Linked DNA regions of Notamacropus eugenii. The protein of the gene in region 3 binds, or shares a complex with, the protein of the main gene of each other region. Links are inferred from orthologs where the notes say so. Each region holds a gene or a part of one and is shown on either strand. Other genes may lie near its edges. The genes, in order: EPC1, SMARCA4, TRRAP and TADA2B.

Region 1 (7,247 bases), about 320 Mb from region 3:
TAAACATTACTACGCTGGTCTTTACCTCTATTAACCTTCTTTTTCATCAGTTTCTTGCAAGACTAGCAGGATGGAGATAAGTTCATTTACCAGTTTGAGAGTTAAAAAAATGAAGGTTAGGCTTGGAAGTAGCAGAAAATACCCAATCACTCCTGATTTTTTTGGTCTAAATTTAAGTGAAACTTTTTTCACTGACTTTTAACTTCACCACAACTTTAGTCTTCAAGTAATATAAAATAAAGTGCTTTGTACTTAGACAGCTTTTTATCTCAGAGGAACTCAAAGCATTTTATTGCTAGTAATAATTAATATGGACACTCATAGGCATCTCATGTGGGAGGTCAGTGTTTTTCCTCTTTAGAAAATTAAAAAAAAAAAGACCCAGAGAACTTAATGATTTGTCCAACATTAACAATGGAAATTTAACTATAATTAAGATGTCTTAGGCTAGCCCCATGACCCTCTCAAAAGGATTTTTAGAAACTGCAGTTTTGGTACACTTGTTGTGATTACTACATCATTCAGGAATAAAATATGAAACAATAAGTTAACTGCCTTTCCTTCAAAGGAGAACTTATTAAAGTATTTATTGTTTTACAGTCACAAAGTGTTTTACAACTAACATGCTATATTAACTTTTTAATTTTAGGAGCATCAATTTCCCTAAGAATCTTTTTTTTGGAGGTGGGAAGAAGTCTACATTTTCACAAACTAGTCCATCATGGGATTTTAGAGGAGGAAGGCATTGTTTAAAAAAAGATGGATTTTATTTTCCATAAACTAGGGTTTTACAAATAGTGATAAGATTTAAAGTGTGTGTATATATAACATATGCTTATATATATATATGCAAATCAGTCAATTGACAGGCATTTAACAAATGTGCTACTGTGTACTCAGCCCTGTGCTAGACATTTTGGGAGAATATAAAAGATATAGAAGACATGACATCTGCCCTCCAGAAGCTTATCATATTCTAGTTGCAGAGATAAAATATAAGACAACTAAAAAAGTTTTCTACAACTGACTATACAAGTAATAGGAGCTCAGAGATACAAGAGATTATCAGTCTGTCATTGAATTTTTCAAGCTGAAAGAAATCTTGGAAATAAAAGTGTAACCCTCTCCTCTGATAAGGAAATAAGCCCAGAAAAAGTCATTGGTTCACTATGGAGGTTAGACTTGCAATGGACAAGAAGCATTTTGAAAGGGAGACTGAGGAATAAAGGATGGGGGATTGCCAGAGGTGAGAATGAACATAGCATATGCTAATGGCAGGAAACTGATTGTCCTGACCAGCGAGGAGCATGACTTTTCGATGTTAGGGCAGGATGTCTGTAGGGGAGTCATTGTAGGTATTTGATCTGCAGAAGAACAACGAACGTAGTATTTTAGGAATATTAGATTGAGAGAATATTGTTGGATGGGCTGGCAAGAGGACAAGGTAGAGATAGGGAAAACAGGAAGTCTATTGTGGACTTCTAAGTGGGATGACAGTGGGACAGGAGAGAATGAATTGTATCATGAATTGTAGATATATTTTGAAGAAGTAAATGACAGGACCTGGTAACAGATTGGGTGTATGTGTAAACATTGTAAGCATGGTTTTATATATATATATATGTATGTATGTATGTATGTATATATGTACATGTGCACATATATACATATATACACCCACACATATGAGGGTACTTGTCTTTAGGTTCTGTTGGTTTGACTCTTTTTTTCTTTCTTTACTATTCATTAATATTAGCAGAAATCCCAGTTTTGAACTAGAATTAATGTTTTAGGTTTAGATTTTTTTTCATAACTTATGAGGATTATCACTTAAATCATTCATCATTTCCTTTCCATTCCCAGTGCTACGACTTTAGAGCAGACGCTATTCCATTACCCTCCTAACGTTCTCTCTTGTATTTTTCCATAGACCACTTCTCAAGTTATTCTTCTTAGAGGACAGCTTCAGTCACATTAGTCCTTTGCTCAAAGATGCCCAGTGACAACCAAATCGAGTCCAAATTCCTGATGTTCAAAGCTATCTGAAATTGGATATAACTCTTTTTTAGACTTACCTGTGAGCAGTTAGCCAGATATGGCGCTCTAACAAGATCAGACCTCTTGCTTTCCCCCAAACATGCATTGCTCCTTTCTTCCATAAGCAAACATCCTTGATCTCATCCCCACAGCTCAACTTCTTGACCCCTTATGTATCCTTCAAAACTAAGCTCAAATGCTACCTTTTCCATTCAAGTTTATCTTGGTCTAAAGTGATCCTTTCCCTGTACTCATGGTACTCATTACTGCCTTGTGTTGTGTGTTGTATTATCTCCCCTACTAGAGTAGTCATAAGCACCTGGAAGTCAGAGATTGTCTCTCTCATCTTGGTATAATAGCTGTCATGTATATATTTACAAGGAATTTCCTTCATAATAATTCTGTGAGGTAGATAACACAGTTCATCCATTTCATGGATGAGGAAATGGAGACAGAGAAGTGATTTGCTCAGTCAGAAAGCAAGTGTCTTTCCTTGGTGCTTTTGTATTTTACGTAACCCGTATGAAGCGCCTTGCATGTAGTCTATATTCTGTATATATTTGTGGGGTATATACTTGGGAATCAGCAGTAGCTGTTTTAAGGGGATTTACCTGTCTAAAGGAGTCATCATATTTGTTTCTGGAGGAGGAAGGATTTTTGTATAAAGTGAAGGGAAAGCTGACTCTGCTTTCTTAAGTTTGTTGAATCAATATTCGTTATATTAGCATCCTCCCGCTGGAGGGAAGTAGCGGCTATTGCTGTCCCCAGGATGGGCTAGAGCTAACCCAGGCCAGGAGGTAGCAATTTGCCCATTTGCCCATTTGCCCTCAGCCAGTGGTTAACGATGCCGACCGATCGTACTTATCTTGACGTGATGTGGGATGTACAGCCGGGGGAAATGGACTGAGAAGACGTTTTTGTGGAGTGAATGTGGGGATTTCTCTGCAAGACCAATCAGCCCATCCCGGACCATTTTAAACTGGGAAGGCTCTTGGAATCCCTATTCTGGCGTCTGGAATAACCCTTAGAAGACGAGTTCGCCTGCGTCTCATTCATAAATGACTAGAGGCGCTCGGGCTCTTGCTGTTTCAGCTGCAGAACGTCTTTTACGACCCTTGCCACAAATGGCATTTATTTAATGTGTGTAAAATGTTTTAGAAGAAAGCCTCCTAAACAGGACGAATGACCGTCCGTCACGGCCACTCGGGAAACAGCCTCTTCTTCTACCACCGGCGGGGAATCAGGACTTCGCGAAAGCCCCAGCACCGGGACAACTGGGGGAGAGGGTCCCGGCTTCGGCAAAGAGGAAACCCTTTCGGAACGTCCCCGTCCCGGTTACGTTCAGGATTCCCCTCCTCCGTCCGGTTCCATGTGCGTCTACCTCCCCGCATCTGCAGATAAAACAGAATGAAGCCTCGCGCGGGGCAGCCGGGTGTTTAATATTGACGCCCCAGCCCGGCGCGGCGGCGGGGTAACGGTGCCCAGGGCCGTGCCCCCCAGCAGGGGGGCGGCTCCTCGAGGGCAGCCCGTGTAGACGGCGCTGACTTCGCGACCGTTTGGTTTGCAGAGAAGCTCGAGTGGTGTCGGGGCGCGCGCCCGCCCGCGCGTGTGTCGGTGTGTGCGCGCGTGTCGGTGTGTGTCAGGGGGTGTGTGCGTGTGTGTGTGTCAGGGGGTGTGTGCGCGCGTGTTCGCGCCGCCACCTCCGTCGCGCCGGGCTTTTCTCCCCGAGGCCCCCCAAGTTGCCGGCCCGGCTGCAGGAGCGCGCCCCGGCCGCTCCGAACCATCGAGCTCTCGGCGGCTGCCCTCCCACGGCAGCAGCGGGCGCCGGGGCTCCGGGACGGGGGGCTCCGGGCTGGAGGAGCGGCCGGGATGGCAGGGGCCCCCCGGAGCCCGGCGGCGACCGGCCCCAGCGCTCCCGCGGCTCTCCGGGAAGCCTCGGCCGGGAGCGGGGCAGCCCGGGGTCCCGGCAGCGCGGTCCCCTCCGGACCGCGTCGGGCGGGAGCGGCGGCCCCGGGGCGGGGGAGGACCGGGGGGAGGAGAGCGGAGCAGGCAGCGGCGGCGGCGGCGGCGGGAGCAGCCAGGAGCCGGAGCCGGAGCCGGAGCCAGCCTGGGGAGCAGGGGTTGGCGGGGGCGCGCGCAGTCCGTGCCGGCGCCCGGCCTCGAGCCCGCGCTCCCCCCCTCCGCCGCGTGCCCGCGCCGCTGCGCGATGCAGTGTGGGGAATGGCTGGGGTTGGCTGAAGAGCGCACAGTGGAGTTTTAATGTCCGCCATGTTGGCCATGGCGTATTGAAGAGAGCGAGTGAGAGCGGAGCGGAGCGGCACAGGCACCCACCCTCCCGGCTGCGGTGAGGGCCCGGACGGCGGGCCCCACGCTCCGCCCCTCCAGTCCCCGGCAGCGGCAGGCGAGTGGGGACCGAGCCCCGGGTTCTCCATGATCCCGCTGGCCGGGGCCGTTTCCCCAGAGCGGAGAGGTATCTGCTGCGCCTGAGATGAGTAAATTGTCGTTTCGGGCGCGGGCGCTGGACGCCTCGAAGCCGCTGCCGGTCTTCCGCTGTGAGGATCTGCCCGATCTGCACGAATACGCCTCGATAAACCGGGCCGTGCCGCAGATGCCCACCGGAATGGAGAAGGAAGAGGAGTCGGTACGTGTAAACTCCCCCGCCCGACCCACCGCCAGGCCCCGCTCCCCCTGCTGCCTGCGGCGGCCACGGAGCAGTCAGCCCCACACAAAATGGCCGCCATCTTCTCTTCCCCGCCGACGTTCAGTCGCCGGCCCGGCCTTTACCCCGACTCCCTCGGCCTCGACCCCCGGCCCGCCGCGGCCCCGCCGGGCCCGCACCGGCGCTGCCCACCGCCGCCCCCCCCTTCGGCCGCTTCCACCCGGGACCCGCCGGGTTCGGGGGCCCGAAAGGCACAAAGGGGGTCACGTGACGAAGCGGCCGGCAGCCATTTTGTGGTCTTTAGTTCTTGGGTTGGGCCTTGTGCAGCGAGAGAGGGGAACGGGTTGGGGGGGGCGACGGAGGGGGGGAGCGGGGAAGGAGCGCCCGCCTGCAGGCCTCCCGGCTCGCCGCTGGGTGGCGCCGCCAGGTCGTCGGGGCCCTCTGGCCGCTGCCGTCGCCCGGGCCGCACGCTCGGGGATTGTGCTCGGCCGCTCTGGCCGGGAAAGCATTTCCGTTTCTAGGCAGCTCCCACGTGGGGCCTGTGGGAGGCCCGTGTTTACTGCAGGCCCCCGGAGCTCCTGTTTATTCTCAGGACCGACTGCGCCCCGCTTCGTCCCGTCCCCGGGAGCCCCTCGGAAAGGCCGGGGTTGCGCGGCCAGGCCGGAGGTCGGTTAGATCCGAGCCCAGGACCCCGGCCCCGGGTCGCCTCTTCCCTCCCCACTCCCCGGAGCGCTGCGGGTAAAAGCCATGGCTCCTCGTCCCCGGCCGAGCCTCCCGGAGGAACGGGCTGCAGGTTTGTCTGGGCCGTAGGGCTCGTTGCTCGCGAGGAGGGGGCCGGCGGAGGCGGCCGAGCCCCGCGGGGGTGGTGCCACCCCCGGCCTCCGTGCCAGGGCTCCGGTGGGGCGAGTTTCTGGGTTCGGAACGTTGTCCCTCCTGCTGCCTACTTACCATGTGTATTTTTGTTGTTGTTCTGGGCTTCATGGAAGCACAGGCAGAGCAGAAACTGTTCTTTTTTTAAAAAGTTGGGTTCTGAGGGGAGGCTCCTTAGACTCTCCTCTCTGCTCCCCCGCCTTCCCCTCGTTTTTCACCGCATAACTTGATGCCTTCTAATCCTAAGGAATTGCATACCTTGGTTTTCAGGTACAGCCACTTAAAACAGGGTGCAGTGTAATGACAATTCCAGGAAGTCCACGAAGCACACAATACCGCAGTTTGTGGAACAGTTGTCCATTAGAGCCCAGTGCTTCTAACAGACTTGTGTGTAACTGTACTGCAATGACTTTCCTTGGGACTGTAACATGAAAGATGAATTGTATGGTGGTGATTGCTCATTGTAATGTTACTCAAACAATAAAAACTGATGAAATTGTTTTGGTTGCTTAGAAAGTTAATAAATAGTTGTATCGGTTGAATGTTAACTTTTTTTGAAAGAGTAGTGTCAAATCTATCACATTTTCATGTGCACTGAAGGAACCTAGTGTAGTGTGAGGCGTGAAGCTTTCACTGACTTTCAGCACCTTCTCTGTGAGACAGAACCTCTTTAATTTTTACTTGTGTTAACTTTAGAGTAGAATAGTGCAATTTTTGTTTTGGATAAGTGATTTTAAAAAATTAAAATACTTGTGACCGCAGTATCTTGTCTTTTTGTTTTATTTTTATTTGTATGTAGGCTTTGAAAATTATCTGTTGTGGGAGGGGGTTAGTAGATGCTAGTATTACACCTGTTTAGATGCAAGTAGCTCTGTGGTGGAACCAAGAAGAAAGACCCTTCATTGCTTTATTTACTCCATAGGTAATAATCCTTTCAGGAATGTCTTGTGAATTAAATTTAGGCATTTCCAGGAGTGGCTCAGTTTTGCTTGTCTTGACACTGACTGCTTAAGTTGGCAGTATATTTGATTTTGCATTTAAAGTTTCAAATTTATGAGGGAAATTACATCCGTTGCAACATGCCATTTCTGTAGATTTGATGTATGTATTGCATATGTGTAGTTGAAGGCAAAATTCTGTTTACCATTTAAGTTATTTTTTCCATTTACAATTCGAAATTTGTTAGATTTCACTAACCAGAGAGAGAATGGATGTTAAAATAAGAAGCCAAGCTGAGGGGAAATGACAGCCACTAAAAGAAATTTTATACCAGAGCTACTCTTGATCTTCAGGTCTTAGTTTCCATATTAAGCCCCTAGACCAAACACTTAAGTGATCAGCACTTATCTTATGCTTTTAAATTCCTTTATAATATGGGGAAGTGAGAAAAATCTTTCATTGACATCTAGTTTTAGGCGCTTAGATACTACAGGTTAAATTGAATTGGGACCCTCCAGTACTATTTTCATGACAAAAAAAAAAAGAAACAATGTAGATTTACTTGGTAATCTGAAAAGAGTTTTGTTTACCATTAAACCTATCAAAAATCTGTCACTTAGACTAGGAACATACTGCTGCTGTAAATGTAAGCAAAATGATTCCAGCAAATACAGGTCAGTTAAATATACTACTACATAGCCATGCTCATTAAATGAATGGTGGGGGTAGAAAAAGATACTAA
Region 2 (7,198 bases), on a different chromosome or scaffold from region 3:
TAGAATTAATTTTAGGTTAATATGCTAACCATTGCTTCTCCTAAATACTGCCTAGAGTATCTTTCTGCCTTCTCTACATGGCAGCTTAAAGATATCAGAGAAAATGCAAAATTTCCTGATGGGACAGCTCGGGAGCCTAAGGGATTAGAGTGCCAGTCCAGTAGTCATGAAAACCTGAGTTTAAATTTGACCTCAGACAACTCACTACCTGTGTGTCCCTGGGTAAACCAACCTTTGTTTGTTTCAGGTTCTTCATCTATAAAATGAGGATGAGAATCATATCTATCTCCCAGGGCTGTTGTGAGGATCAGATGAGATAATTATAAAATATCTGACACATAGAACACACCTTATAAATGCCAGTTATCACTATAATGTTGTAATTTTGTAGAATTTAATCTCATTTCCATATGAATGTTTATCATAATTTTTATCCCAAGGCCAGCATTTAAAATCTCAGTGTAAAAAAAAATTATGACAATCAATCAAAGTAAATAATACTGTATTCAGAATACATGATGCTGTAAAGATCAGTTGCTCATACACTTGCTTTTTATATAAATTTAATAGGTAAATGCATAAGAAAATGGAATGTTTACTCAAAAATATAAGTAACAAACTCATTCATGAAGAGAGTGTTAACCTATCCAGACTGAAGCCAAATTAAATATGATAATTGCTAATAATCCTGAGATGGTACCTTGAAGGGCCTGACATTCACCCTAAATGTACTAGTTAGGAATAAATATAAAATTTATGATAAACTTTTTCTTTTAGAGTTAGTTGCTCATAGCATATAGTATAAAAGTAATAGTATAAATTTAAGTTGTTCAGTCATTTCCAACTCTTTGTGATCCCATTTGGGGTTTTCTTGGCAAAAATACTATGATTGTTAACCATTTCCTTTTCCAGCTAATTTTACAAATGAAGAAACTGAGGCAAACAGGATTAAATGACTTGCCCTGGGTCACACAGCTAGTAAGTGTCTCAGGTCAAATTTGAACTTAGGAAGAGGAGTCTTCCTGACTTGGGATCTGGCACTCTTTCCACTGAGCCACCTACCTAGCTGTCAGTTTTAAGTTGACATCTTGGTAATTCAATAATAATACAGAGCTATATCCTAATACCTCTATTGCTCTGGGCTTTAGAAACAAGTAAAGAGTACTTCAATTACAGTTACTGCAGGTTTCTTGCAACACATTCCACAGACCGTTCCCCTCCTCCCTCTCTCCAACAAACTTTTATTTATCAATTTGCAGGACAGTGGGAAGACAAAAACCAAAATAAAAACAGCCTTTACTCTCACATAACTTACATTTTACTAGACAGGAAAAGAGCATAGGCCCTTCTCGTTAACTAGAAAGCATGAAACCTGAAAATATTCAAAAATCTCCCTTCTCAAAATGTTAGAAATTATAGAAATGAAGAAATGGAGTAACAAAGTAGCTGAAATGGGATCAAAAGACTTAGTGTTGACAAGGGCCTTAAGCTACAGTGAGATACTGTGAACAGTGGCTAGTATGTTGGCCCAGTGTCAGAAAGACGTGTTCAAAACCTGCCTCAGATCCCAGTAGCTTTGTGACTATGGACCAGTCATCCAGGTGATTTGACCCTCAGTTTTCTCATCCATAAAATGGGGACTTGTTCTCCCTCCCTCACTGGACAGTTGTGAAGTTCATATGAGAATATATATTCAGATGCTTTGCACACTTGAAGGAACTATGTAAATGTCATCTGCCTAGTCCAAGACTCTCCTTTATTTAACTGTAAATATTTTATTAATGGTTTTTGTCTTTATGTCTACCATTTCACTGTCTCTCCTACTCTTCCAGTGGTCCTTTCTCTCCCCTATGGAAAAGCAAAAACATCAAATAGTGACCACATCATAAAATATATACAACATTCTAATTAGTAGTCCCCATCACTATAAAGAGGAAACAGATAAAGTGATTTGCGCAAGGACTCAATAGCTGTGGCTCATCTCTGAGGACAGCAATATGAATGAATATAAATTAGATATATAAGCTAGGAACTTCTTATGCAGAAGAAGCTTGGAAGAGCTTGATTAAATGATTAGTCTTCCCAGTAAAAAAGGTCTTGGAGACAGTTTCTACTTTCAAAACTTTCCCCCTGAAGTTAATTATTCAGGTGGTCAACTTTTCACCAGTATAAATGAAAAACATTCCAGCATGATTACTGCTTTCTGATAAACTAATAAGAGTTTTTTGTGGGGAAGGTAGGAGTCCAGTCTTCTATTCAAGTCCTATTCCAATCTGTCATCATGGTGAGGATATGCCAGCTGAGCATATTGGGAAGGTTTTGAATACAGTCTCATCCAACTGCCAGCCCAGCTGAGTATGGAAGGGGTTATTTTTCACATGGTTGTCCACGAGGTGACCTATTTTTTTTTTTTTTGGTCACAGCAACTCATGAAATAAGTCTACTAGAGCATAGAGGAGGTTGCAACCTGTGTAGACAGAACTACCCACAGTGAAGGAAGCAGGAAACCTTGCTGAGGTGTGGTGTCCTAGTTACCTCACATTCAATTTGAGCTACCTCTCATTGTATTCCCCACTAAGGCAAGGAAAGATCAGAACAATTAATGAGGCCATCCAGGATGTCTTTTAAGTCTAAACACTGAATGTACGAAAAGCTCTAGATAGATCTATCAATTCTCCTGGGCACTGCTAACTTGCTGGGAAAGCGTTTCAACAACTCCCTCCCAAACTGGATAGCCAATATGTGCAGGTAGAACCTGTGCTAAAGTACGGCTTCAAATTCTTCAGGATGCTTTCAATGCAACCCAACATTTATTAAATATCACTTATTAGGCATTTATGAGACAACACTGAAGTGAGCTCTGCTCTCAAGGAGGGGACATGCTATATGTACACAAGCAAACACACACAAAGCAATTTCAAAAGGCAAGGAATGCTAAAGGAATACTTCCCTTCTCTGTACTGGTTTCACCTGTAAAATGAGGGGGTTGGCCTAAATGTTCCTTCTCCAAGATCCCTTCCAGCTCTGAAGCTCGATGACCTAACAACTGCTGCCATTTTCACAGTGCTTTTCGGATTTGTAAAGCGCTTCACACACACTGTCTCATGTGATCCTCCTGGCAGCTCAGTGAGGTAGTTTCTGTTGTTGTTTCCTTTGAGACCTTTACTAAAAATACTGTTGAGAGGAGAGGCAGCTTGTCAAACACTTGGCTAGATAGGTTGCACCAGAGGGTTCTGTCACTGAACACTTCTGAGGCGTCCTACTCCACCCACTCAGGAGGGGCTGTGATAGGAGCTCCCTTGGATGCCTGCTCCAGCAGGTGCATGTGCTAGGGGTGCCAAGCGGATGATTGGTGCCTTAGTTAAATAAGCATCTCTCACACCATGAGAGGAGATAAAGGTGATTCTGAAACACACCCTTAAGTACAAGGCGTCAGGCACTATTAATTCAGTTCAGAGTGGATTTGTTTGAACTTGTGACAAAACCTGTTACCAAAGCTGCTTCTCTTCTCTCCTACGCCTCTCTCCAAGAAACCCCACCTGTTCTCTCTTGTGCTGGGGCTCTCTTCCCCTCTGGCATGCCTCTTATTAAAATGACTGAAACTTCTCAAACCAAAAGGAGTATCCCTAGATTCACTCTGCCCACTCCCAAAGGGCCTTCCTGCAGTTCCCACAGCTGCTCTCTCTACCCTCCCTCCTGCCAACTACCACTGTCCAGAGTCCTTTCACCTTCAGAAACTTTCTGGCAAAGCCCTCTTAGGAGGCTCTGTCCATTCCCCCGTTTTCTTTTGCCTCCCTCCCACTGATGGACCTAACAAAGTATTCTCTGCGTGAGCCCTCCCTCTCCCTCTGCTCCATCCACCCCACATGGCTCCCTAGGTCCTGTCCTCCCTCCTTTGCCATCCCCAAACTTCTCACCCCCCAGCCTCTTCAGAATTCTACCCGCATTCCAGACGTAGCCTCAAGCTCTCTCACAAACTCCAGCTGGATCCACCCTGATCCCACACACCTCCATAACAACTCCCCACAAGTCCTGACCCCCTAGCTGCGCAGACACTTCCTAACTCCCTCTTTCTCCCAGATCTACCCCAAATCTACCCTAGCCACTATCCCAAACCCTCCTGGGGGCAGTCTCTTTCCTAACTCCCGGCCACCCACAAGCTTTTGAACCCTCTCCACACCCTCACGAGCCCCGGCTGGGCCACGGCTCCCTCGGCCCCCTCTCACCTCCCTCCCCCAGGCCAGTCCAACTCCCTCATTCCACAGACGAGGAAACCAAGTCTCAGGGAGGCTGTGACTGGCCCAAGGTCACCCGGGGTGGGGCGCACAGCCTGGGCCTCCGACTCCAAAGGCCACGCTGCCCCCTCCCCACAATCCCCGCTCTTTCCAGTCCTTTCCTCATGCTCCTGCTCCCCTTCCTTGCCCCTCCCTCGTTCTCACCCCCCCATCCGAGTCTCCGGCCCTTCTTTTTCACTCCCCCTCCCCCTCCCCGCCTTTCTCCTCCTCCTCCGGTCGCCCCGCCCCACTCCCTTCGCCGCAGTGGCGCCCCCAGAGCGCATGCTCCCCGGCGTGGCCAGAGGTGGCGTTTGTGAGGGAGGGGCCCAGGCACCAAGGGGAAGGAGGCAAGGTAAGGGGTACTGGAAGCGAGGCTCTGGGAGCGTGCGCGTGCACGTGCGCGTGCCTCTCGGGGAGAGACTGTCCAAAGGGATGGCGGACGCGCACGCGTGTGCGGGAGCGCGCCCTCTTCCTCGGTCGGTCTTCCTCCGATTAGGGCCCCTTTTCCTCCCGACGCCTCCGAGGAGGCGGGGCGCGCGTGCGCAGCCCGCCTCCCTGATACGGAAGGGTGGGAAGTGGAGGAGGAGAAGGAAGATAGGCTGGGTAGCCGAGGCGCGCACGAGGAGCCGCTGGGCCGGGTGGGGGAAGGGCAGGCCAGTGCGCGCGGAGGAGGGGGGGGGGTGCAGCCTCGGAGGCGCGTCCGGCGGGCGAGCGAGCGCGGGATAGAAGCGGGCGCGCGCACCAGCTTCCCCTCGCTCGGTGGCGGCGTCTTTGTTCCGTGTGGAGAAGGGAGGACTCGAAAGCCAGCGACGGGCCCTGGCCCCGGTAGAGAAGGGGGGAGCGCTGGGGACGCGGGGCTGCCGGCAGTGGCGGCTCCTCCCAGGTCCGGGTAAGGAACCAGGCCCCAGGGATGGGCGTTGGGGGAAGGGAGGGGACGGTTGGTTTGAATGGAGAGGGGGGAGCGGGGGAGGGGGAGGACCACACAGTCGCCTTGGGTCGCACGGGGTCTACGGTGGCGCCGCGGGGTCAAGAAACCTCCGATGCTCGCTCTTAGTCTGCGATCGGGCTGGAAGGGCTGGCCAGGCTAGGCCCGGCCTGGGCAGGGCCTGGGGGGTGGGACGGCGAGCGGGAGAGTGGAGGAGAGGCCGCTTATAACCGAGGTCCTCACGGACAGCCCCCGCCTCCGGCCTCCTCAGTTTACCCTGCGGCCCCCCTTCCCTCTGCTTCCTCTTTCACACCTCCCCTCCCCCCGGCGCCGCCGCCGTGGGCACCTTTCTGAGCCTCGCGGGTCCTTTCTGCCCACCCCCACGTGCCCACCCCCGGATCTCTAAGCGCCGGTCGTTCCGGCTGGCTCAGAGGGTCCCTCCTTCCGAGGGGCTGGGGGCGAGAAGAATGAGAGAGAGAGAGTGTGTGCGCGCGCTCGCGCGTGTGATTGTGAGAGAGAGCACGCCGGGTGAGGAGCTCCGCGGCCCGAAGTGCTTCCCTCGCGTGGGCCCGAGAGCTGAGGCAATGGGGAGCGGGCGCCTCGCGGGAAATTTCTCGGAGGATTTCCAAACAAACACCGCGTGGGGAAGGGTCCAGGACCTTTGTTGTTTGAGCCCTCCCTCTTCCTTAACAATAGACTGTTGTTAGAAACACTTTGGGAGCTTGCTCTTCTAGTTACGGGAGTGAGCCGCACCTCCTCTCCAAGAGCACAGTGGTTTTTAAAAAATAAAGTAGAAAGACCAGAACATGTTGGATGATTGCGGAGTCAAGGGCTTTTTGAGCCCCTTGGTGTTGAGTCAGCCAAGCTAAAAAGATCAGCTCGTGTCACCCCATTTTTTTTTTTTTTGTGGAAAGAAATTTTGTTTTACGTTTTCGAATGGCCATAATAATGAAGTTATTTCAGAATCTCGATTGTGAGATGAAGAGAACGAGAATGGGTCACCGAAAGGTAAAAGAAAGAACTTTGGTGTCTTTAAATCTTTGTTCACCAAGACTATGTTCTGTGTAATTTTTTTTAAAGAAATGTAAATATTCTATGAGAGTGCTTTGATGCCCCAGATTTTAGGTATAATGTTTTACTTTCGTGAGAGTTTTCATTTTAAGGCGCCGTTGATCTTTTGTTTCTTTCAGAAAGAGTAAAAACATAAGTTCAACTTGTAGGTGAGATGATATTTATAAAAAACTCTTGGCACAGTGCTTTGCACATAATAGGGACTATATAAATTTGCAACATACAGAACTTTGATCTGTAAAAGGCCTCAGAGATCATATAGAGTAAACTAACCCTCCTACTTTACAGATGAGGAAACTGAAAATCTTACTACTTGTCCATTTTTTATTTCCTTTTGAAGTGATAGATCATCTTAGAGAATTTTAAGACTAGAACAGGCCTAGGGCCGGAGTTCTTAACCCTTTTTTGTGTCCTGGACCCTTTTTGGCATTCTGTCTTCTCAGAATAGTGTTTTTAGATACGTAGGATTACAAAGAAATTCAATTCAATTACAGTGAAATACAGTTATCAAAAAAATTTTTTATAACAAGTTTAATACTTAAGGTTAAGAACGTCTGCCTTAGATATAATCTGTTGCAACACCTTCATTCACTAGACGAGTTTTTAATGTGTAGCTACTAAAGTCTAGATAGTTTGAGGATAAACGCATAAGTAAGACATGGTAGAACTATGATACAAGATACAAGGAACTTTATAGGAGTTCAGAGAAAAGAGAGTTAGCTCCCAAGTGAGAAAGGAAAATATCTTGGGGAGGTAGAATATGAGCTGAGCCTTGAAGAACTTATAAACTTATGGCAGATATTGGAAAGAGGACATTCTAGAGAGGGTGACCTGCTTGAGCAAAGGTTTGGAGGTGGAAAAACTCAGGGTTCCTTTGGGAAATGATTAATATTCTGGTTTTGATGCACTATAGTATTAGATAATGGTG
Region 3 (7,265 bases):
CTTTTTTGGGCATTTTCCCAGCCAATTACTTGAGTTCTGAGTATTTTTCAAAAGGAGGGTATACTCTGGGGACCTGTAAGTTCTCAGTTCCTCCAAGGTGGCACAATCAAGGGAGAGAAGTTTGCTCCTCTCCTGGCCTGTGCTCTTATCTGTGAGCAACCACAAGCACTCTATTCTGCCCATGATCTGCGAGTATAATTTCCTCTCCACACCTGCCTCCAGCTCCACCACACTAGCACTCTTCCTCAACCCAAGAGAGCCACTCAGGGCTGAGATCGAGATCAGCTGCTCAATTCCCCCAGGGGCTTTAAGCCAAGGGCTCCAAAAATAGAGGCTGCCACTGCAGTTGCTGCTGCTGGTGGGGCTAGACTCATTCCCTTCTCATGCAGGTGAAAGAGCTTTCTCACTGACCTTTGAAACTGTCTTTGATATTTGCGGGTTGAGCAATCTGGGAACTGCAGCTGCTGCTGGGGATTCCACGCCTGAGGTCTGTTTTGGTCCTGTCCCTGCTGTGCCACCACCAAGGCCAGGCTGCGCTCTGCTCTGCACCCAGCGTGATAAATCTTTCCTGTTGGCCTTCCCGGCTGTCTTGGGCTGGAAATCTCTTTCACTCTGTTGTTTTGTGGCTTCTGCTGCTATAGAATTTGTTTAGAGTCATTTTTTTACAGGTATTTTATGGGATATGGAGGGGAGCTTCTACAGCTCTGTCCTTCTACTCCACCATCTTGGCTCTTCTCCCTATAATACTCTTGTATCTGTATATATGCACATATGTATATGTATGTATATGAATATATATATATGCGTGGTGAGGAGGCACAGTAGATAGAACACCAAGCCTGGAGATAGGAGGACTGGAGTTCAAATTTGGCTTCAGACATTTACTAGCTCGGTGACCCTGGGTAAGTCCTTTACTCATTTGTCTCAGTTTCCTCATCTGTAAAATAAGCTGGAGAAGGAAATGGCAAACTACTCTAATACCTTTGCCAAGAAAACCCCAAACGGGATCACAAAGAATCAAATACAACCGAAAACAATAAAAATGAACATTTATACATACATATACATGCATATATATGTGTTTGTATATGTATACATACACATACATATATACTTTCTTGCATGTATACATTTCTCACATATATTTTACATATTTATATATGTAAGTATATATATGTTTTTTTCTATCCAATAATGTAAGATTAGGCAGAGAAACCAAGTTCTGGCTAGGAATTTTTCCTCACTGGGTAGGACTTTACCTGAATTCAAAATGGTTCATCTAAAATAAACTCTCTAAATCCAAAGAAAAGAGAACCAAAGGGGAGGGTGACAGAAGAGGGATTATATTGCTTTCTAGGCTTAAAATGAGCTAATTATTGTAAAGGGTATTACAATAGACTTGGTAAACAATCCTTTAATATAGTTCTGGGTTGGACACCAGTTATTTCCAAATGCTTTTGCAATTATCAAAATTCAATGAAACAAATTAAGGAGGATAACCCCAGAAACATGGATGTTTGTTTAAAATTGGAAACAGAGGCAATGTTACATTTGGTAGAAATTTCTTAATCCAAATGCCTTCCTGCATCATGGTGGAGGGTTTTGTGTAGCTCAGTGAAACTATGAGCTATGCTGTGCTGGGTTACCCAAGATGAACAGGTCATAGCAGAGATTTCTGACAAAATGTAATCCAGTGGAGGAGGAAATGGCAAACCACTTCAGTATCTTTGCCAAGAAAACCCCATGAACAATATTAAAATAATAAACTACATGACACTGGAAAATGAACCCCTCAGGTCAGAAGGTGTCCAACATGCTACTGGGGAAGGGTTCTGGATAATGGACAAAGCTCTCGTGCCTTCTCAGTCACCAATGGATTGAAACAGGGCTGTGTGCTTGCTCCCATGTTTTTTAGCATGATGTTTTCAGCCATGTTGACAAATGCTTTCAGTGAGAATGAACACAGCATCAAGGTCAACTACTATACTGATGGTAACTTCTTCAATTTGAAAAGGTTACAAGTCAAGACCAAAGTAGAGGGAGTGTTGGTGCATGATTTTCTGTTTGCAGATGACTGTGCACTCAATACAGCCTCTGAAGCTGAGATGCAACAAAGTATGGATCAATTCTCTGCTGCCTGTGCTAATTTTGGCCTAATAGTTAACACCCAAAAAACACAGGTGCCCCATCAGCCACCACCACACCATCCATATGTGGAACCATCCGTTACAACAAATTGAGAAGTGTAGAATGCTGTGGATAAGTTTACTTGCCTTGGTAGCGTACTTTCCAGGGAGGTACACATTGACAATGAGGTTGATGCACACATTGCCAGAGCTAGTTCAGTGTCTGGAAGGCTCTGAAGAAAGGTTTGGGAGAGAAGAGGCATTAGACTGACTACCAAACTGAAGGTCTACAGAGCTGTTGTGCTGACCTCATTGTTATATGCTTGTGAAACATGGACAGTCTACCAGCGCCATGCCAGGAAGCTGAATCGCTTCCACATGAACTGTCTTAGGAAGATTCTGAGGATCACTTGGCAGGATAAAGTACCAGACACTGAAGTCCTTGCTTAAGCTGAACTGGCAAGTATTCAAACTATGCTTCAGAGAGCACAACTCTGATGGGCTGGCCATGTTGTTTGAATGCAAAATGTACACTTGCCAAAACGACTTTTATGGAGAACCTGAATGGGGCAGGCAATCACATGGTGGTCAGAAGAAGTGATACAAGGACACTTTCAAAGTATCTCTCAAAAACTTTGGATTTGACTGTGCAATGGGAGACACTGTTACAGGACTGCTCAGCATGGCATGCCCACATAAAAGGTGCTGTGCTCTTTGAGCAAAGCAGAATTGAGACAGCACGAAGTAAATGCAAGATGTGCAAATTTGGGATATCCACCCCAAATGTTCAAAAGAACTATCTGATCAGCCACAGTTGGACACACTGAAATTTCACTTTACAATGGTGATGCCATTTTGGTGGGCAAGACATCATGCAAAATGCCAGGGTAGATGAATCAAAAGCTGAATTTAAGACTGCTTAGAGAAATATAAAAAATCTCAGGTTTGCAAATAATAATACTCTGATGGCAGAAAATGAAGAGGAATTAAGAAGCCTCTTCAGGGTGAGAGAGGAGAGGGTAAAAGCTCCTTTGAAGCTTAACATAAAAAAGAAAACTAGATCATGGCAACTAGTCCCATCACTTCCTGGCAAATAGAGGGAGAAGAAATGCAAGCAATGTCAAATAAATATCTGCAGGGACTGCAACCATGAAATTAAAAGACATTTGCTCCTTGGAAGGAAAGCTACAGCAAATTTGGATAGTATAATAAAAAGCAGAGACATCACCTTGAGGACAAAGGTTTGTATAGTTAAAGCTACGGTTTTTCCAGTAGCAATGTATGGCTGTGAGAGTTGGGATTCTAGGGAAAGCTGGGTGTTGCAGAAGAGAGGCTTTAGAATTGTGGTACTAGAGAAGACTTCTGAGAGTTTCTTGGGTATCAGGGAGTTTAAATCAGTCAATACTTTAAGAAATTAATTCAGGTTATTCACTGGAAGGTCAAAATACAAAAGCTGAAACGGAAATACTTTGGCCACATAATGAGAAGACTGGACTCAGTGGAAAAGACCCTAATATTGTAAAAGATTTAAGGCAAAAGAAGGGAATGGCAGAGGATGAGATGAAAAATAGCGTCATGGAAACAGTGCACTTGGACAGACTTGGAGAGATAGTGGAGGATAGCAGGACCTGTAGTGCTAGGGGTCCATTGAGTTAGTCAGACAGAACTGAACCACAACTTAATCCAAAGTGAAAGATCTTTCAGGCAGGGAGTGCCTCCCAAACCTGAGTCTCCAGTCCAATGCACACACTTTGGATTTGTTACCACCAGAGGTGAGAAAATAAACTGGGAAGATTAAGGAAATGAAATGCTACCTACTCATAATTATCTACTGGCGGCACTGCTCTGTTGTTGGAAGCGTGAAACTGACAAGCTAACAAGATACTTAGTATCTGTGGGCAAGACAATTGCTGGGATGTGGCAAGGATTACTTTTAGTCCCTTCCCTAGGGTCCTGAGCGATAAGCATTTAAATGGAGGAGCCTATGTTTACACTTTTTAGAAGGTCCCAGAACCCTTTCACTCCTCCAGTGAGACGTCAATTACCCTGAGGGTACTTCCTCCCCGCCCCCTACAGCTTCGAGCCAGGCCGCACCCAGTTCCCCGTAGGTGACACCTGACTGGTGCTGCATCTGGGCACAGACTTTTTGATTGGCTGCTCCGCGCGCTGGGGGCAGCCCAGGGGGAGAGTCTGTCGCTTTAAGCGGGGGCGGGGACTCCGCAGGGCGGCAGCTTTGCTCCGGGAGCCATGGGCCTGCGTGCTGCAGGAAGAGCTGCAGCCTCTCAGGGTGAGGGAGCAAACGTTCCATCCGAACGTTCCCCGGTGGGGGTGGGGGCTGCGGGGGAGGGAGTGTGTTTCCACGGGGTGGGAGGTGGAGTGGAGGGGGCCTTGTGCGGCCGGCCGGGATTCTTGGGCGCGTGCGCGGGAGAGGCCGTCCGGAGCCCCGGTGCATGGGAGCCAGGAGGCCTTTCTATCATCGGACGGACGTAGTTAAGGGAGATACTGGGACGGAAGAGTCCTGGGGCACCGAACGAGAGCCCGCTCTCCCACTTCCTCATACACTTTCGGCAGAAACTGGGCCGGGGGTTACTCTGAGGGTTTACATCTTCATGTTACTCCTAGGTAGGGTAAAGGGCTGGGGGGGGGGGGTATGGGGCGGAACGAGGGAAAGGCCGAGGCGGTTTTTGTACTTGACCCTCTACGGGCACCGTAGCACCGGCCTGGGCAACGGCGAACCCTCCTGTACTGCAACAAAGAAGGGAACCTGAGGAGCGTTTGGGCTTGGGGCTGGGAAAAGGTGCCTGCCCCGCCTTCTCCGATGTTGTGGAAGGGCCCGGGGGCGGAGGGGAGGCGTCTAGATTCCAGTCCTCGCCTCCCGGCGTGAAGCTCGAGAGAGAGAAGAGAGAGACTGCAGGTTTGTGGCGGCAGCGCCACCACCTGGCGCGGAGGCGTCCCCGCAGGCGTTGTAGTACAAGGGGCGGGGCGGGGGTCCAGGCTAGGGAGTCCTGTCTGAGGGTCTGGGGCTTACTCGGGCTTGGGAGGCCTGAGGCAGGGGATGCTGGGAGGTTTTCCGGAGGAGACTGGGAGGTAGGGGGGAGGGGAGGCGGGAGTGTGTATGTGGAAGGTACCCGGAAGTGGGCCCTGGAGGAACCGCTTACCTCTGACCCCCCTCCCATCTCTAGAGTTAGGCTCCGCCCCCCTCCCCGGCCGCTTTCTGGAAGGCGAAGGGGGGAAGGACGGAGAAGGGGCATAGGAAGAAGGGGAGGGGCCCTTTGGGGCACCCGACTATCCAAGCACTCCTGGAAAACAGTACCCCATCCAGAGCCGAGTCACTACCTGACCCGCTTTATTGTGGCTCCTGGGAGCCTCTGAGAAAAACCTGGTTTGGGGGGGCTTTTCCAAATAACTTTGCTAGACTCTGGGCTTGTGTGATCCGGGGGTGCCCCCTCTGCGGTGTCTCTGGGACCAGAACGGATCCACACAAGTGACATTTTGTTCCCATATCTCTGAGGGAGAGTTTTGGGGTCACAGGGAGAGCCACATCTTCTCTTTTCTCTCTAAGTACACATACTTCCTGACTGAAAAGAACAGGAGAGAGGGGCCTGAAAGTTAACTGATCTTGGGAAATGAGTTTTGTGACTTAGAAGATGTTTCCCCAGTTTCATTTAAAGTTGAGGAATTATGGACATTGAAGAAAAAAGCTACACGTTGCGTATGTTTAAGGGTCGCAGAATATGTGAATTTAGGTGAAAAGACTTTAAAAAATCATGAATTAAATGGCTTTATGTTGGGGTTTATAGGCAGAAATTTTTGAAATAAGCACGTTCAGAATTAAGCTTTAGGATGCTTATAGGCATATGTCCTTGGAAAACTGAGATATATATATGTGTGCCTTTTTGTAAAAATAGGTTGGCCCTGACTCCATTCTTCTAAGAAACACAAACTAAAAAAGAAAAATGGCATTTGTTGCAACACCCGCAGCCACAGTGGTTGACCAAACCACTTTGATGAAAAAATACCTTCAGTTTGTGGCTGCTCTTACAGATGTAAATACACGTAAGTTGATTTTTTTTACTCATTGCCATTTTAGGAAACATCATAATATGACTTATTTGTTCCATTATTAAATTGGAACGCATGGTGAGATAAATGATGATGGCATTAAAGCTCATTTTACATTTCCTTTTCCCTTTTCGTAGGGAAGCAAAATGATGGATACTATTGGTTGGAGCCCCAAAGAGGCAAATGTGTGTCTGTATATGAATGTATGTGCGCGCGCACTTGTGCCTGGATGTATGACTGGGTATGAATGGCGATAGGGACCTAGTTATATGCCTTTTTATAGAGGGCCATGATATTCAAACTGATAAGATCTGATTGCTTCTCTTTTACAGTAAACCTTAAAGTTGTAGGATTTAAAAAAAATGTCAGTAACTTGAGTATATTTCACTTTCTATAGCGGATGAAACAAAACTGAAAATGATGCAAGAAGTTAGTGAAAATTTTGAGGTATGTTGTAAAACTTTGTTTCTATTTTGAGCCTACGTCATAGTCTCTTAGTTTTGACTTTATCTGTTTAGAAGTATATTTGGTGACATATCCCCTTTTATTTTCAGGGCCTTACCATCCTTCTGTTCACCCATGTTCCCAGCATTGGGTTTATCCATGACTCTGGTCATCATTCCCTCTATACACCAATTTGCCAAATTTTGACATTTCTCCTTCCATCACGTTTCACATCCTTTCGTTTTTCGTCACTTATATTGCCTTTAGTCTTAAGGCAGTATTCATCACCTCTTGCTTAGACCACTGTAGTAGTTTCCTAATTGATCTCCCTGCTGCCAGTCTTCCCTTTTCTCCAATCCATCTTCCACACTGCCAAATTTATATTCCTAAAATACAAATTTGACCATGTCATCTTCCTACTCAGAAATCTTGGCGTGGCTTCCTGTTATCTCTAGGATAAAATAATGAAATCCTCAGCTTGCTGTTTAAAGCCTTCCATAACATGATTGCTGTTTACCTTTCCACTCTTGGTTTAGGTTACTCTTCTTCCTATACTCTGTATTCCAGTGGAATTGGCCTGCTCACTCTTCCCTATACCTGAACTTTCATCTCTTCATTTTGAGCCTTTGCAGA
Region 4 (7,033 bases), on a different chromosome or scaffold from region 3:
AGAATGCCACAAGTATCAAAAAGGTTTTAACTTACATTTACATGATAAATATAAAAGGAACTTCTAAATAGATGCAACCTGAGAGGAGCCAAACGTGAATGGCCACAGGCAAAATGATTCCTGGAGGCAGAAGCCCAACTAAAACCTGCAACACTACAGGTATACCCTCTATTACGTTGCCTGGACAAGCAAAGTCTCAGAAAAATGTGAATAATACGGTATATAATCAAAGCCCATTTGCAGCCTAGCACAAACCCACTGTAATATTATTAAACAGATTGTGCCTTCGATAAAAATCAGACGATCCCTCATAATCAGGATGCTTTGACCCTAACACTTTTATAACACTGTTCCTATGAAACTCTGACATGATTTCAGCAACAAGTAATGTCATCTGGGGTATACCTGTAACTGAATTAACCCCTTATGTGCTCCCACCCATGACCAAAACCTGGCTAACATTATGACTAACAGAATTTGCGCAGGGAGCTACACTTCAGATTTGAATCATTCATACTTACAGAAGCAGAAATAACAAACTGGCACAACCCTTCATCTTGCTGAGGGAATTCTGCTGAGAATCATAAGTAGGTCTTTTGGAGGAGGCCTTACCAATTAAGGGCCTACTTGTATGTAAACTGAAAAGAATGACACTTGTTATTAAACCAAGATTTTCTCAAGTATCCCTAATTATAACTTTCTGATAAATAGAAAAGGATGATTCTCATATGTCCGCTCTTCTGACAAATTATTTTAAAGGAACTTTTTGACGCTGAGAGCTGAAGGGCCATTCTTGAGTCACTAATTTCTTAAGTCAAGGAATATGCAAACTGAATTGTAATACTCTTGGAATTAGTCAACCTTTATATTGCTACTACTTAAAACAAGGCTAGCCATTTAACAAATATTTACTCAACTGAGTTGAAGCATTTCTCAACTGCAATCTGTAATTTGAAAATGTATTCTACTCTTGTTTCTATCATAGGCCACTCTCCATGGAAAGTGATATTCTGAAGATAAAGATAAAAGGTATCAGAGGTATTCTGAAATGCAGAGAACTAAAATGCAAAGTATTTTATGAGTAACATTCTCTCAGTTAAATTTTCTGTTGACTAGATCAATGTGCCCATGAAGTAACTGGCTCTGTCCCTGGAGGTGTTCAATAATGGATAATGACTTTGTCAGGGAGGGGAAGACAACTGCTTGGGGGGTAGAAGGGATGAGTTTAGGCTAGACCTCCAAAGCCCTTTTTCTTTTCTAAAACCCTTCAATTCCTATGAACATGGTTTGCTTCATTGAACAGGAAAGAGTGAATTTACTGGGGAAAATACACTCTGTTAAATTATCTGGTTGAATACCGTTTCCTTTTGTGGGAGTGCAGAACTCAGCTCCCACTGTGCCCTCTGTGAGCATTCAGTCCCCTCCTGTCTCTCAGGAAGAAAAGAATATGGTAGGACTGAAAAAGCACTGGATTTTGGAGTCAGAGAGATCTGGCTTTGAACTTGGGTTCTGCCACTTATTACCTGTGTGGCCTTAGGCACCTTATTTCTCTTCTAGAGGCCACTTCTTAAAGAAGTGAACTCTCCTAGAAAAAATTATATCTAAGGTCCCTTTTAACTCCAAGGGAAAAAGTTCCAAGAGAAGATGCGACAATATGTATCTTCAAGTATACAAAAGATTATGGCATGAAAGAGGGAAAAGAGAAAACTAGGAGCAATAGGGTGAAAGTCATTGAAGATTTTCATTAAATACATTGGAAACACCCAGCCTTCCCCCCCCCAATCAAAATGTTGGGGAAACTGAGCTGCCCCAGGAGGGAGGGAGTTCTTCAAAACCGTGACTCTTCCCACAGGGGCCTCAGGACCAGGATATTCGCTCAGACTCTTGCTGAGGTACGAGTAGACTAGACGACCTCTGGGGTCCTGCCAACTCAAATGCCAGGAGCATGGGAGGCCAAGAAGATTGAAAAGGAGGTAGAAGTTGGGGATGGTCCTGGGGAGAGAGACGGGGATGAGAAGATCCTGGGGAGGGGAAGGGATAAGAAGGTGGGGAGGGGGAGACATGACAAGATGCGGGAGGGAGTGTGTGTGAAGGCGATGAGGTTGGGGGGTAACAAGGTGCGGGGGAGGGGGGCATGGGGGACGGATGACAAGGGGCTGGGGAGGGAGAGGGATGCAGGGGATGACAAGGCGATGCGGAGGGGGAGGGGGACAGGATCCCTGGCGGGGACGGAAGGCTGGGCCCCTGCCCCGGGCCGCGGCGCTCACCCAGTTGCCGAAGCCGAACTGCTCGATGGCATCGAGCAGGAGCTGCTCCTCGCGGCTGGTCCAGCCGCCCTCGGCCTCGGGCCCCCACAGCGTGAAGCGGCCGCCGTCCACCAGCTGATAGCCGTGCCAGCGCCGGTGGTGGCCGATCTCGGCGCCGGCCGAGAAGCACTCGGGGCACAGCTCGATGTCCTGGCACTCGGTGCAGCGGAAGCGCAGCGGGCTCACCTCGGCCAGACAGTACACACAGTACTTCTTCCCCAGCTCCGCCATCTTCCCCCGCTCGCCCGCGACGGTCCCGCCGACGCCGCCCACCGAGACGCCGCCACTTCCCCCGGCGGCCGAGGGCGGGTACGAGGAACAACCGCCGCCGCCGCCCGCCGCGGCTGCCGGAGCCGCCACCGCTGCTGCTACGGCCAAGGCCCAGGAGCCGCCGGAGCCAGCCAGCCGAATGTCTCGTCTCAGTACGCAGGCGCCATCCGACCCCGTCAGGCCGCCGTCTTCCCTCCTCCGCATCGCGCAGGCGCTTAGCCCCAGTGGGCGTCCGGCGCAAGCGTGAAACCCTTTAACAACCTCCTCCCGCCCCCGACCCTTATGGAGGAAAGACAGTTCTGGTGTTTGCGCCTGCGCATTCCCTTTTCCCTCTTCCCCCCCGCCACCGTTTTCCTGACGTTTTTCTTCCCTGCGCCTGCGTCCTTCTCCAGGTCGCTCCCAATCCCCGAGCGAGGGAGGAGGGAGGGGGTGAGGTGACAGCGACGAGGCTTCTTTTGTCACGCCCCGCCCCGCCCCGCCCCCGCCCGGTCGGCCCTCCCCCACGCTCTCGCGCCTTCCTGGCCTCCCATTGGCGGAATAAGGAGGAGACAACCCAATCGCCCTCGTCGCCAGCAGCGCCTCTGGTTGCCCCGGGAAACCAAACAGAAGAGGAGAAGCCGAGGATTCCCCGCACTCCTTTCCCCTGCCTCGAGTTAGCTGTGTGAGAAGGAGGGGTGAGGACGTAAGGGTAAGGGATGGAATTGCCCGAGGAGGGCCCCGAGGGGGCCCAGGCTCCTTTGGAAGCTCCGGAGGAAATGAGCGTGGAGGTGCCGGGTGTGCCCGAGGCAGGGAACCCGGACGGCGTGGGGCCAGAGGAAATGACTTCGATGGCCGCGCCGTCGGAGGGCGCCGAGCACGGCGAGCCCGCGGAGATGGAGCCGGGAAGCATGGAAGAGGCGAAGGCGGCCGAGGAAGCCGAGGAGGATGAGGGAGAGGCCGAGGATAAGGGAGAGGCCAAGGAGGATGAGGCAGAGGCCGAGGAGGATGAGGGAGAGGCCGAGGAGGATGAAGGAGAAGCCGAGGAGGATGAGGGAGAAGCCGAGGAGGATGAAGGGGAGGCGGCGGCGGAGGAGGTACCGTCGATCTCTGACGCCGGGGAGACCAGCAAGGCCGGACTCCCGGAATCCATCGAAGGCCGCGACGAAGACTGGATCCCGGAGGACAAGAGGCAGTCCCTGGGAGAGGACGGGGAGAGCTACGTGTCGCTGGAGTCCCACGAAAGGGACGAGGACTTGTACGAGCAGGAAGAGGAGGCCGAAGAGGCCCCCGACGAGGAGGAGCTGAAGCTCCAGGAGCAGCAGCTGCGCGCCGAGCTCATGGAGCAGTATCACGGGCTGCTGTCGGAGCGCCACCGCATCCACCAGTACAACGTTCACCTGCAGCACAAGATCTCCCAGGCTCTGCGCAAGAAGAAGAGCGCCGAGCCCGGCGTGGAGGTGGAGAAGACGTCCTCGGACCAGGACGCCCCCGAGAAGGAGCAGGCTTACCAGCGCTACCTGAGCTCGCTGGAGGAGCTGAAGAAGCAGCACGGCCAAGACGTGGAGTGGTACCAGCGCGAGCTCGAGCAGCTGCGGCAGCACTGCCAGGACAAGCTGGCCCAAGTGGACAAGGAGTGGAAGGCCTTCCAGGCCCTCAAGAAGCAGGTGATGCTGCAGGCCATGGGCAGCTGCCGCGTGGCTGGCGGCAAGCCGGCGGCCCAGCGCGAGGTGGAGCAGATCCAGGCCAACGAGGACCGCAAGGAGAAGGAGATGAGCGCCGTGCGCCTGGAGAACGTGCAGCTGAAGCAGAGCCTGAGCCACCTGCAGGCCAGGATGAAGGCGCAGGAGGAGATGACGGAGGGGCTGCACCTCATCGACTTCGAGCAGCTCAAGATAGAGAACCAGACCTTCAACGAGAAGGTGGAGGAACGCAACGAGGAGCTATTAAAGCTCCACCACAAAGTCACCAGCAACGTCCAAATCATCACCCACGTGAAGGAGAAATTACAGTTTGTGGAACTGGGGAATTGGCGCCTCAAGGCAGAGCTTATGGATATTGATGCTCAGGTGGCCCAGAAGAGGGACATCTTGACCAAGACTAAGAAAGCCAGAGACAGCCTTCGAGTTGATAATGTCAAGTTACATCAGAAGTGCGGACTTCTGGGCAAAGAGATGCTCCTTCGGGACCTGGAGCAAAAGGTGGACCAAACTGAGGTGCTCAGCCAGCGGCTAGAAACACTTAAGCGCCAGCATGCTGGGCTGACGCTCTCTTGCAAAGGACTCAAACAGAAAATAAAGGAATCCAAAGCATTCCTACCATCCTGAACATCAGAAATAATTGATGTGAATCTTCAGCAAACCTTTTCAGTTTTCGTAAGGAACCTTTAGTGGACTTATTTTTCACTCAGTGCCATTTTTAAAAAGGCCTGTGGTAGTTAAGAGAGAAAAAAAACTATATATTGAAATATGTAGCTGACAGATGTTAAGATGAGTGCTGGACACTAAGCTGAGACAACTTATTTTAAATGAATTGAACATCTTATGAATTTTAAAACAAGGTCAAAGAAGCCAAGTACTGTGATTGACTAAAAATTATGTCTTAGGTGAAGTGTAGAAATAAAGGACAAGCAGCCTTTAGTTCTGAATTATCCCACCATTTCAAATCATCAGCCACTACAGAATTTTCATTTCACTTTGAGGAAGTACACAGAGAAGCCTCTCCTGTGAAAAGAAGTGAGGGGGGTAGAACAGAGAAAACTAACTTTATTCTCATACATAAAGTGAAGTTTTTTCTTAAATTTTTGAGTCACTCAACTAAGACCATTAAGTAAATATTTTAGATCTACCATTCATTTAACTATTCTGTAAAATGTAGTTTATAGACACACAAAAAAAACAGAAATAATTAGCAGAAAAATTAGTTTTTCTCAGATATACTTTTTTTTCTTGGCCAAGACTACTTCTCTAAAGGATACTGGCATTAGTCTCAGCCTTAAATTAGGGCTCCTTTTCCTAATTGTCTCAGATTCTCAAGCAATTTGATCAAGGGAGGTTATTAGGTTGTTTGGAAAAGATGGGAAAGAAGAGGCATGGTTTAATAAATAAATTCAGTATATTTTGCATTAAACTTCTGCACCTTGTCCAGAAATGCATAAATGGCAAAAAAAAAAAAAACAAAACAGGAACATGTCAATTGGATTATATCAAAATAAAGGTTTGGAAAATTCTACTTCAAAGTTAGACTTTTTTGGTCTTGCAATTTTTGAACACTCCTTTTTGTAATATCAGAAGCACTCTCTTGGTAGTATTACTTTCTTATGTTCTTTTTGGAGTTAATAAAGATGAACTGAAACTTCTAATGACTTTCCATCCATATCTTAAAAACATTTTGTAATTATGCCATTTATGCACTGTCCTCATTTTAGTAATACAGAGCCCAATAGTTCATTTCATTGGTAGCTTAGTTTCCATTGCTTCCCACCTATAGGCCTGCTTTCTTCTTTCCCTGTTCATCTGAACCTGAAAAGTGAAAGCCTTTCAGGAAAGCCATTCATTTGCAAACGTTTTTCTCTTTGCCTCAAGGTATTAAAATACATCCAGGCAAATGGATTGGCACACAGTCCTGAATACTAGAAAGTGAAACTTACAATTAATACCGAGAGTGACCTACTCTGTAACAGCTGGTAGGAAATAAGTCTCCATCTGTGGAGAAAATGTAGAGGCAGGAGGAAATACATTTGAAGTTGATTTTTAATTGACAATTGTACTTAGCTATCAGGAAGAACAATGTAGTAGATAGAGCACTGGGCCAGGTCCAAAAACTTGCATTAAATTCAACCCTGACTCTACAAAAGTGTGATTTGGCGACAGTCACCTCATCTCTTTGAGTCCCTCCAAGTGATATCTCCAAAATGGGGAGCAAACTCTTTGACTTCAGTCAGTTAAGCATTTATTGAACTTTTACTGTGTGCTAAGTGTTGGGAAAACAGAGCAAAAACAGTTCTTTCCTTCAAGAAGTTCACATTTTAATGGGGAAGAGAACATTCAAGTGTGTGCAGAAAAAATAAATACGGCATAAATTGGAGGTAAGCTCAGAAGAAAAGCACTGGGTGGGGAAGCAGGTATGGGAGGAGGTGCAAGGTTGGTGCCTCTTGCAGAAGGTGGGATATGAAAGAACCCAGGAGATGGCCAAGTTGGGAAAGTGACAGCCAGTGAAAAAGTCACAAAGATCATAGCTGACTGCTGCATTTAATGAAAGAGAAAAATGAGGTTCAGGGAGTTTGTGACATCAAAAGTCACACAGGTATAAAGTATCAGAGGCAGGATTCTCTCAGGAGGTAATTGTCAGGTAAAGTAATGAATATGAAAACTTCATGGTAAAGAACTGTATGCATATAAGCAATAATAAACTCGTTTAATCCTTCACACATTTTACCCCACCCCTCCCTCGTAAATAACGGCCCACATATTACAGACTGC

Evidence for each region.
Region 1: TRRAP (region 3) and EPC1 share a complex: the UniProt entries of both Homo sapiens proteins name them as parts of the nuA4 histone acetyltransferase complex. The link is inferred for Notamacropus eugenii from reciprocal best matches to the Homo sapiens genes TRRAP and EPC1.
Region 2: TRRAP (region 3) and SMARCA4 share a complex: the UniProt entries of both Homo sapiens proteins name them as parts of the BAF53 complex. The link is inferred for Notamacropus eugenii from reciprocal best matches to the Homo sapiens genes TRRAP and SMARCA4.
Region 4: TRRAP (region 3) and TADA2B share a complex: the UniProt entries of both Homo sapiens proteins name them as parts of the TFTC-HAT complex. The link is inferred for Notamacropus eugenii from reciprocal best matches to the Homo sapiens genes TRRAP and TADA2B.

Annotation. Positions count from the first base shown.
Region 1 is NC_092874.1:72,575,554-72,582,800, reverse strand, and holds the start of EPC1 (enhancer of polycomb homolog 1), read left to right. Parts: upstream 1-4,226; 5' UTR 4,227-4,525; coding exon 4,526-4,678; intron 4,679-7,247. UniProt on the Homo sapiens protein: Component of the NuA4 histone acetyltransferase (HAT) complex, a multiprotein complex involved in transcriptional activation of select genes principally by acetylation of nucleosomal histones H4 and H2A.
Region 2 is NC_092875.1:79,002,469-79,009,666, reverse strand, and holds the start of SMARCA4 (transcription activator BRG1), read left to right. Parts: upstream 1-4,193; 5' UTR 4,194-4,626; intron 4,627-4,888; exon of another isoform or gene 4,889-5,163; intron 5,164-5,371; exon of another isoform or gene 5,372-6,207; intron 6,208-7,198. UniProt on the Homo sapiens protein: ATPase involved in transcriptional activation and repression of select genes by chromatin remodeling (alteration of DNA-nucleosome topology).
Region 3 is NC_092874.1:393,973,804-393,981,068, reverse strand, and holds the start of TRRAP (transformation/transcription domain-associated protein), read left to right. Parts: upstream 1-4,246; 5' UTR 4,247-4,413; exon of another isoform or gene 4,414-4,748; intron 4,749-6,034; 5' UTR 6,035-6,082; coding exon 6,083-6,182; intron 6,183-6,323; exon of another isoform or gene 6,324-6,510; intron 6,511-6,585; coding exon 6,586-6,635; intron 6,636-7,265. UniProt on the Homo sapiens protein: Adapter protein, which is found in various multiprotein chromatin complexes with histone acetyltransferase activity (HAT), which gives a specific tag for epigenetic transcription activation.
Region 4 is NC_092877.1:58,613,210-58,620,242, forward strand, and holds the start of TADA2B (transcriptional adapter 2-beta), read right to left. Parts: upstream 3,013-7,033; 5' UTR 2,781-3,012; coding exon 2,268-2,780; intron 1-2,267. Other genes in the region: CFAP184 (cilia- and flagella-associated protein 184), read left to right, coding at 3,272-4,879. UniProt on the Homo sapiens protein: Coactivates PAX5-dependent transcription together with either SMARCA4 or GCN5L2.